Linked DNA regions of Kluyveromyces lactis. The protein of the gene in region 3 purifies or fractionates together with the protein of the main gene of each other region. This does not show direct contact. Links are inferred from orthologs where the notes say so. Each region holds a gene or a part of one and is shown on either strand. Other genes may lie near its edges.

Region 1 (3,840 bases), on a different chromosome or scaffold from region 3:
ATCAAAGCTGTTTGTGTAATAGCTCAACAAGATCCACTGTTTTCCTTGGAGCATCTTGTGGACGTTTCCACTCTTCTGGGAACTCGTACCCACGCTTTTTCTTACGCAATTGTCTTGCGATGATATGTCTTTTATCGAGAGGAACATCAGCAAAGTCGTCTTTCAAATCTTTAGCCTCCTTGAGTAATTCTAGAAGAATGCTGTTTAAGTACTTTGCATTTTGAGCTGGTTCTTCATAGCGATCAGAAGACATTCTCAAAGTATCTGTAGTAGAATCATAACGTGTTTTTGCCAATAGACGCAGCTTATGCAGTTCCCTCTGTTCCAAGCCGAGATCCGATGTCTTCACAGATAAGACAACCTTACGAGAATTTGGATGTTCTTCACCAAGATATGTTGTATAACGATAAGCTACTGGATGAGTCTTTGTTGAAGGGCGTTTATATTCTTGACGATACTGCGCAAGTAAAGGAAGTTCAAATGCTGCCAAACGATTGTAGAAACGTTGTTCACGATGTTGATGAACTAAAATTTGTGATTGTGATGGCAAATCATCAAACTGATATTGATCCAAGTTGACATGCTCGTCTAGACCTCTTGCAATGCCCATTTCTGCCTCAACTTCTTCAGGTGTCTTATGATAGTACTCTTTGAAAAGTTTTGCTGGAATTCCAGACGCTTCGGCAGTGGGTAACAATGCTTTCAACTCTTCTTCGCAAGGCTTATATAGGGGCCCTAGTCTTGCCTTTCTTTCATTGTGCAACGTTATGATATCTTTACTATCCAAACCGATCCATTTCGATGGATCCTTGTAAAGTGTTGAGGAAATGGTCGCAACTTCTTTCGTAACGGTGGAGTTTAAACGTCTACTACAAAAGAATGCAGTACGTTGCACGCTAGCACCAGTAATCATTGTTGAGTGCCTAAGATGATTACGTTATCGCAGACCTTTTAACACTTTGAATATAATTGGCTTTCTCTGGTTCCGATTGGTGTTGTATCGAGGATTATTGGTATTTCTGGTAAACTTGGAAAATTTTTTGCAGAGAAAAGGCGGAGGTCACGTGATAATAAATTTTCTATGAAAATATCTGTCAAAGTAACGGAAGATAAACAACGAAGCAACAAACAGAACAAAGTCATTAATATTGCCAAAGCTGGAAAGCAGCCTATCTTTTAACGATAGTCAACAGTGGACAAAGGTGGAATCAAGTAGATTGCTAAACCAGATCTTCACTCAGTAAAACACCACTGGTATATTATGTCAAGGAATACGCGAAGAGGCAAAGGAATAAGAGAGCAGAAAAGAGATGACGCTGGGCTACATGAACCGTCGAATATTCTAAATTCGATGCTGAAGTCTTTAGACTTGACTTTTGAGAATGACATAGGTTTACTGAACGGTAAATACGTGAGGTCGGTTCCTGAGAAACCGGTTTTGCAAACAACTAAAGATCAACTAGAAAATCTAGGAAAATGTTTGGAGAAAATTGCAGCTAGTGATCAAGAGAATTTAGACCTAATCAAGGAAATGCGGGAAGATATAATAAGGCTCGAAGATGAGAAACAAAAAGAGAAGGAGGAAGCAGAAGCTGCAACAAACCTTGCAGCCCAGAACGCAGAAAATGATTCAATTAATAAAAAACTTGATGAATCTAGCGAAGTCGTATCGGATAAAAGATCAATTACAGAAGAGAACGAGGAGACAGACAAAAGGCCACAAGATACTATTGAAGAAGCGGAAGTTTTATCATCAGATGGTCACATATCAAAGAAAGCAAAGCTAGATATTGATAAAATGGAAAATGATCCTAACATTAGAAACCCCAAGTCTGAATTTGTAGTATCTCAAACGTTACCTGCTGCTGCAATGAGATTAGGTTTGTTTCAAGAGGAGGGTCTTGAAGCTACTGGTGAGGAATATTTGAAAAAGAAATACGGGGTAGTAAGCTATCCTACAAATGACTTAAAGGAACTTCTACCCGGTGAGCTGCCTGATATGGATTTCTCGAAACCTAAACCCACAAACCAAATTCAGTTTAATACTTTTCTCTCATCCATCGAGGCCTTTTACAGAGAATTCAATGATGACGATATCAAATTCCTTCAAAACAAATTCATCATGCCACAAAATTTGCAGTTTGTGAAATCTTATGACCCCGAAGTGACTCCATACACAATTCCTAAATTAGGACCACTATACACAGACGTGTGGTTGAAAGAAGACAATAATCAAAACATTGCGAATCTGACTCCTCCACCTATCAGTGATCCTATTAGTATCTTGCCTAAGAAATCAGGGAATGACATTTCGGATGGTGTACTTGACAATGAAGAAGTGTCTTGTGGCCCGCTAGTCTCAAGGCTTTTGAGTGCTATACTGAAGGATGATGATATTATAGCTCCTAAGGAAGAATTACCGACAAACCCCACACTCGATTCATCAGTATCAACACCAGTAAGTGAGCTTGAACATGTTACCCCATCATCCTCCTCGTCATACGGGATATTCAAACAACATGGAGCGATTGCAAACAATTCCAATATTGATTATGTTTCTTTTGAGGAACGCTTGAAAAGGGAATTAAAGTATGTTGGTATATATATGAATCTACCGAGAGAAGAAGGAAAAACACGTGAAGACCCGGATTGGTTGACCGGAAGGGAAGATGATGAGATTAGTGCTGAACTAAGAGAGCTGCAGAGTACACTACGTCAAGTGACTACTAAGAATACCAAAAGAAAGGCAATGCTTCTACCGTTATTGGAGAGGATGCTCGCATGGCAAGAGTACTGTACCATATTGGACAATCTTGATAAGCAAGTTGACCAAGCATATATCAAACGTATTCGTGCGCCGAAAAATAAGAAAAAGAGGCAATATACACCTGGGCCGGATTCATTAGCAACCGGATCAACATCTCAGGCAGCTATTCAGGCAGCTCACCAACAAGCCGCTAACTCGAGTCTAAAATCTTTGTTGGATAAGAGACAAAGATGGATAAGCAAGATTGGTCCTTTGTTTGACAAACCGGAAGTCATGAAGCGTATTCCAAGAGATAGCGTATTCAAGGATATAGACCAAGATGAGGAAGAAGAAGAAGCAGATGTGTTCAGCAATAATGCCAACGGGAAGGAAGAAGAATTAAATGAAACTCTACAAAATAAAGAAGAATAAATTGAAATAACTGACAGACTGGCGTCAAGCTGGTTTTTGGTGCTAGCTAGTGGAATTAGACCCTTTATTATATAGAATACGTGGAATAAATGTACCTGTCTATATTTGATGCAATTATGATTTATGATATTTACTTGTTACTTAGTTATTCATATTAGTCTGAATGTATGATAAAGATGGAACCGTTTTGACATTACCTAGAGCAACCATAGAGACAGGTTTATTGAGCAGCCTATAATTTGCCCACATTATAATGTCCTGCTTTGTGATTTTATTAACTTGTTCGAAAACCTCCTCTGGTGATAACCTTTTACCAGTCGTTACTACTTGTCTTCCAATATCTTCAGCTATTGCAGTCGATCCATCTAGAGAAAGAAGTAGAGAGGCTTTTAATCTTGCTTTCGCTCTGTTTACCTCATCGTCCGAGATACGTCCGGACCGAATTCTTTTCCACTCTTTTAAAATTTCGTCAATGATTAACTTTATATCGTGTTGTTGAGAATCAGCCACAATGTACATACCCCACAAACCGGAGTCGGCGTACGATGTTGAGAATGACATGTAGGAATTAGTTAAAGTACCATTTTCAGATGCAGCAACAGCAAGAGGTGAAGGAGAATTAGTACCTGTGCCCAAGGCCCTGTCCCAGTTACCAATGATTG
Region 2 (2,728 bases), on a different chromosome or scaffold from region 3:
AGCTCTTACACTATCATAGTAAGTTGAAGGAGCGCGAGGAGAAATCGAAAGTCACTTCACAGATGCAATCAATTCCAATGGATATCGATAGATCCTTCTCACAAGCAATTTCCGAATCCAGTGACATCAAATCCTCAACATCTGCTTCTAACCATCAATCTTTCTCAATGATGAAGCAAGAATTTAAACGAATCTTAGCTGATACTCAGTTAAGATACGAAAAAGAACTAGAACAAGAACGCCTGTTGAGACAACAGTTGGAGAACAAGTTGGAAAATAAAGGATACCGCTAATCGTTTTATGTTGCCCTTAACGATCCAAAAATACTAGCATTAAACTTCAATATATTGTTGAAATGTAATTAACTTTGTAACATTATCTAAGACAGAATTCCTCATCCATTTCAAACTCAAGCTGGAAACCATTTACCGATGGCTATTAGTCGTTAAATTTGTGTATGAACTATATGATACATAGAGTAAGGTGCCAATAATAAAGACTTCTATTATAGCAGAATGGATATGAAAAGACAATAAGGAAGGAAAGATAGAAGGAACAAAGGGTTTTCTTGCAGAAGACGAGACAAAACCTCCGAGAATCGAATTAGTGCATTGTTTAATAAAATAAAAAAATGAATTTTTATAGTACCATCCAATAAAACATCATAGCTTCCTGAATTCACTCAACACAGGGTAGATAGCTTCAAACGCTTGATAGATTTCTTCTCTTTGTTTGGCACCAGTTAAGACAATCTTGCCGGAAACGAAAATTAGTAACACAATCTTAGGTTTCACCATTCTATAGATAAGACCAGGGAATAACTCTGGTTCGTATGAAGAGAAAGTACCGTGACTGAATGCTAAACCTTCTAAACGGATTGGGAACTTCACGTCACATGAGCCGACAATATTTTGGATCTTGAAATCAGTAAACTTGGCACTGAACCCAATCTTTTGAATAATTCTGGCATATTTTCTACTAGCCAACTTGGAATCATCCTCACTCTTAGCACCAGTAACAACCATCTTACCAGATGCGAAAATCAATGCAGTAGTCTTCGGTTCTCTGATACGCATAATCACAGCCGCAAAACGCTTTGGATTGTATTCTGCATTACGAGCGTGTAATGCTACCGTCTTTAGATCCAACCTACAGTCCAAATTCACAGTGGCCACAATATTCTGTAGGGTTGGTATGATTCCCGAAGTGGCAGAACCTTTATCTGCGTCTTCCGCATTAGCATCTGTTCCAGGTAAAGATTCATGTTCTTGTTTTTCTTGAGTTTCCCATACTGATCGTGTACTTGGATCAAATACTATCTTGTTTTCCTCTTGGAACTGTTTCATTCTATTTTCTTCTGACATCTTCTTCTAAGCTAAGCTGCGGTAGTAGAGTTTAACTTGATACGATATACTCGGAACAGTTGATAATAAACGAACGCTGAAAGATGGCTTCTTGAAGTATTTCACCAAACAATTGAAAGTCTTGAAAACCAAAGAAGAAAACTGTCTTCAAAAAAAATAGATCGTGTAGGAGTAGCAGATAGTATACAAGTATTGATATAACTTAAAGGGCTGCCTCAGAAATACACGACTTAAAACTGCAATCTTTGTGTGTTGACTGGTTTTTCCTACTTGTTCTACGATTTATATTTGGTTTCCTATGTTAAAAAGTTGTAAGCGGGAAAGAAATCTGATGAAGCTAGGTCACATGATCAATTTTCATTAGTATGATGATGAATCACCAGAGTAGACTTCTTTGACTTGTAAACAGTTCAATCATGTCATTTCCAAACCTGTTATTTGATGAAGTTATACCATGTCGATCTGAGTACATCGGTGGTTTACTTATTGTCTTCTTTTTGTCGTGGATCCTGGTTCCCTTATATATTTCAAAGTTTCATATAACCATTTTGCCCTAGAATAATACACGTCAATTAACGTGTCTCAAGAACAGCATATGCCCATGCTGAAAATAGCTTCCGATTGATGTATGATACACAATACTAGCTATGGACACCTTCAAAGATGAGCTGCTAAACGTTCCGATCTCTTTTGATCAAAAGTCCTTGAGCAGAAAAGCACAGCAGTTAGATTTGATATATCATCTCTCGAAACAGTACACTTTGACTGCACATGATGTTGTTACGGAAATTGAAACTGAATTGGAACTTCGTCAGTATTATACATTGATAAATCAGGCTATACGATGTCTGCGATATTTGAAGGATGGCGGTTTCCAGCTTTCATTAGAGCAAGATTTTCAGATCACTAACGATCTTGTTACGTTATTGATTGAAGAGACTCATCGCATTGATCTCGCAGAGCAATATTTTTCAGCACTCAGAGAGAGGTTGCAAAGTACAACATGGGTCAATGAGAAGATGTATGTGGATTACGTTCTTCTTTGTAAGATCCCGCTGTATAAAAATGATCCAAGTCATAATAAGATTGCACTACGAAATCTATCCAAGCTTATATCAAAGCTCGATACGTCTCTTTGGAAAGTGCTGTTTCAATATTTTAGATTGCAGTTGATTCCAGGCAATGAAAGGAAGTTGGCTGATTATAGAGATATTCTGTTCGTGATCAAAAACCATGAACAATTCCATTTCGTTGTGATGTGTTCGTTTATTAATTACTGTCTCGATGAAGGGATCAGCATACCAGCTGATATGTGGGTTTATTTTAGTGAAATGGACACAGCTCATGTCAAACTTAAAATATGG
Region 3 (3,344 bases):
ATATCTTCAGTCAGCGATGGAAAGCGCTCTTCGCCACAAATGCCTCCATTATTAAGAACTAGAACGAACTCAAACCTTGTAGAGTTTTTGGAGGAGGAAACAACAAAGAAGAAACCCAAAATGGCGTCAAGGTCGTCGTCGGATTTGAAACTGAATCGCCTTCAAAAAAGACAAATGTCTGTGCAAGATCTTTCTTTAGACGATATTGTCAAGCAAAGACAACAAATATTGGAGGAGTTCAGCACTGTTAGAACTGTTTTGGTAAACGGAAAAGCTATCAATATCTCTCAATCTCATAATAACTCTTTCCAACGAGTTGGTAAACGTAAACTTGCTAGCTATATCTCAGAAACCGGATTTGATGATAAACAGCAGGATATACATGTTACAGCAACTCCGATCAAACCTATAGAGGAAAAGAAGGACACCCCAGTGTTGGTGGCTTCCCCTTCAGTTGTTTCAGAAACACCAGTTAGGGCATCGCCAGTAAAGGTTAAAACCAGGCACGTCCGTAGGAGATTATTTGCGCCGTAGTTAATACGTATATTCGTTACAATATTTACATATTTGATGTCTAAAGCTCACCAAAAAATATAGCATCGTATAGAGTCTTTGCATCGTCTCTTTCCAGTATTACGTTGCCGACAGTAATTCCGCATCTTTCTCTCAAACGAGTTTTGTCCTCCTCACTAAAATCACCAGAAGGGTTGTATGAAGATGGAAGATCAGATTTCAAGTTCTCTAAAGTGGACACTATCACTGTTGACAATAATTTTATCTCCAAGTCAGTTAGGTTCTTTCCGCTCTTGCTGTCTTCCGATTGGCTTCTGTCATATTCCTCGAAAACTAGTTTCGACCAGTTTTGTAAATTGCCTAAAAAGAATCTTATTGTTTCGTTACCGAGGACAGAAACACCACGTACACAACCATAGTAAGTACCGAATGATCTATTGATATCCAAGAATGTCTTAAGTAAAGTTCTAGTAACACGAGGTTTCAACGATTTGTGAACCTTTGGGAACTTTTTCAAGACGTGATCGAGTAAAGAGCTAGCAAAATCACGGACAGCATTAGTCTTCTCTAAAAACTCTTTTTTATTTTGCTGGTCAACAATCTTGTCGTCAGATGAGTTTTTCGAGCCATTACCACCAAGTCTCTTCGCTAATAGTAGTGTTAAGATAGAAGGCATTAGAGAATGAATGTAAGGATCCAAAAATACTGATTGATTACTCAATAACGAATATATCATTTCCAACATTGTAGTTAACAACTCCAAATCCTCTAAATGGTGAGTAATCTGCTCTGCGATAAACTGTATGAAATATGGAACAAGCTGATGTAGTCCTGTGTCAGACTTCAACGAAGTTAAAGCTGCTGCTCTCATCCGTTGTGAATTGATATCTTCTTCCTTCGATGTAAGTGCACTAGCAACTTTTTCGAAATATATCTGTAATTCTTTAGACAAAACGTGTTTGACCAATGGCTTAGCTTCACTTGCTGCACCTGGTTTCACTTGTGTCGAGATAGGTCCATTTGCGGTGGCCTGTCTTTCTTCATTGACATTTGTTTGTAAAGAGGTTTGAACAGAAGTTTCGTTTAATGGTGAGACTATTGCTCCTCTTTGCAACGGAACTTGACTCAGCCTTAGTTCATTGATATTTGGATTTTGTGGAATGGCAGGTTGAATTCCTTCTACCGCTAGCCAATGCGCCGTGAACGTTGGTAATCTTGGAACTTCTGGTAATGGAGTATTGATCAATTTTTCAAAATCGATCTCCTCATCATCTAGGTAATAAAGCGTCTGCCCATTAGCGCCCTCCAACTTATTGAACTTAACGGGCTCATTTTTCGCTGATCCTTCCTCGAATCCATACAATGGCTCGACGTTAAGGACACGTAAAGCTTTCGCAACATCGCTTGTAGTCAAAGTAGATCGCTTACTGTGTCTCTTAAATTTCACCGCTTGTTCCACGATTTCCAAAATACGGTACTCGACATCCATCGCCAATGACCTCAACACGTCATCATTTGTATTTGAGATTCCGAGTGAATCTGCCACATCCTTCACCGTATCATGCGGGGACCAAATTGTATAAGATTGTTGCTGAGAGGACTGCTGTGACATTATTGAAATTGAACACAAATGAATAAAGAAAAGAATACCGTTTACTCGAATAAAATTTATCGCTGTTTCAGTGTATACACCTGAAACTAGAGTTTTCGAGTGGATGTTCGTGCAATAGAGGAGCGCTGGTGTTGTATTCAAATCGTTGGCTTTGTATTCCTTACTTTGAAGGATGGAGTTGTTATTCTTTCAGGATTCGATCGTTTATGTTTTTCGTCAATATTGGAAAATACCAAAAATGAAATAACGTTATCATAAGTTTACCGGATAGAGTTCCAATTGAATATGTAAGGTAAGGCAACAAAGGTAACCATTACTGGTTTGGGCTTACGTACAAATTACAAAGAAACATACTATTTGTGTTTTGAATATGTCTTCGGAACTGACACCATTGCAGCGAAGTGTGCTCGATAAATATCGCTTCCTAGCGGAGTCCTTAAGGGAATTGAGCGAAACACTTTCAGATCTAAACAACACCCATGAGGACTCAAAACCGGAAGCAATTTTACAAGAGATGCGAGAAATTGAAGTGAAAATATCTCTTGTAAGTACGCTTCTCAAAGGTAGCGTATATTCACTCGTGATACAGCGACGGATGGATCACCAACAAAAACCTTCAGATCTATGAGCGGAATCGGACTGATTATTGTAATCATAATCAGAGTTGTAACATTACATTTTAATATATATGAACATAGATATACATATTTCATTTCTAAGGCCACTCTTTTTTATTGTATTCTCACTCTGAACGTAAGAGTTATAGGGGTGATCTGATCAACTATTTGATGAAGAGATGAATCGTTTACCGTCCATATCTACAACTTGTATATAACAAGTTTACCATCCAAACCAACAGAAGAAACTTGAGTGACGTTGTTGTTAGATTCCTTGTAAGCAGCCAATTCTGTAATTGAGTTCACATGGGTAGATTTCTCTTCTTGCTGGCTAACTTTACCCTTCAAATCCAATTCCTTGAACTTTCTCAATGCGGACATACCGAAGGCACCTTCTTCTTCATCATCCCCAGTTGATGCTACCAATTTGCCAGCACTCTTAACTGGGCTATCCAAAATCTTGGACACTTCCCAACCCCTTGAACCTTCGCTGTACAAAACAGGATGATTTGAGAAACCAGCTGCTAAAATTTCATGATCATTGATCCAACATAAGGTGATGAATGGAAGACCTTCTGGGTTGTCTACACTCTTAATATCGT

Evidence for each region. Proteins that work in one complex are often made in the same cells at the same time.
Region 1: the proteins of TAF6 (region 3) and NGG1 purify together in Saccharomyces cerevisiae (affinity purification with mass spectrometry; 14 studies listed by BioGRID, with this or other methods). This does not show direct contact. The link is inferred for Kluyveromyces lactis from reciprocal best matches to the Saccharomyces cerevisiae genes TAF6 and NGG1.
Region 2: the proteins of TAF6 (region 3) and SPT15 purify together in Saccharomyces cerevisiae (affinity purification with western blotting; 10 studies listed by BioGRID, with this or other methods). This does not show direct contact. The link is inferred for Kluyveromyces lactis from reciprocal best matches to the Saccharomyces cerevisiae genes TAF6 and SPT15.

The regions. Positions count from the first base shown.
Region 1 is NC_006040.1:1,523,489-1,527,328, forward strand, and holds NGG1 (histone acetyltransferase NGG1), read left to right. Parts: upstream 1-1,261; coding exon 1,262-3,178; downstream 3,179-3,840. Other genes in the region: RSM24 (mitochondrial 37S ribosomal protein mS35), read right to left, coding at 2-913; MAS1 (mitochondrial processing peptidase), read right to left, coding at 3,320-3,840. UniProt on the Saccharomyces cerevisiae protein: Component of the transcription coactivator SAGA complex. SAGA acts as a general cofactor required for essentially all RNA polymerase II transcription. At the promoters, SAGA is required for transcription pre-initiation complex (PIC) recruitment.
Region 2 is NC_006041.1:892,609-895,336, forward strand, and holds SPT15 (TATA-binding protein), read right to left. Parts: upstream 1,365-2,728; coding exon 663-1,364; downstream 1-662. Other genes in the region: PEA2 (Pea2p), read left to right, coding at 1-293; cohesin-loading factor complex subunit SCC4, read left to right, coding at 2,012-2,728. UniProt on the Saccharomyces cerevisiae protein: General transcription factor that functions at the core of the DNA-binding general transcription factor complex TFIID. Binding of TFIID to a promoter (with or without TATA element) is the initial step in preinitiation complex (PIC) formation.
Region 3 is NC_006042.1:979,204-982,547, reverse strand, and holds TAF6 (TATA-binding protein-associated factor TAF6), read right to left. Parts: upstream 2,126-3,344; coding exon 575-2,125; downstream 1-574. Other genes in the region: SLD3 (Sld3p), read left to right, coding at 1-534; DAD3 (Dad3p), read left to right, coding at 2,496-2,753; ARC40 (Arc40p), read right to left, coding at 2,944-3,344.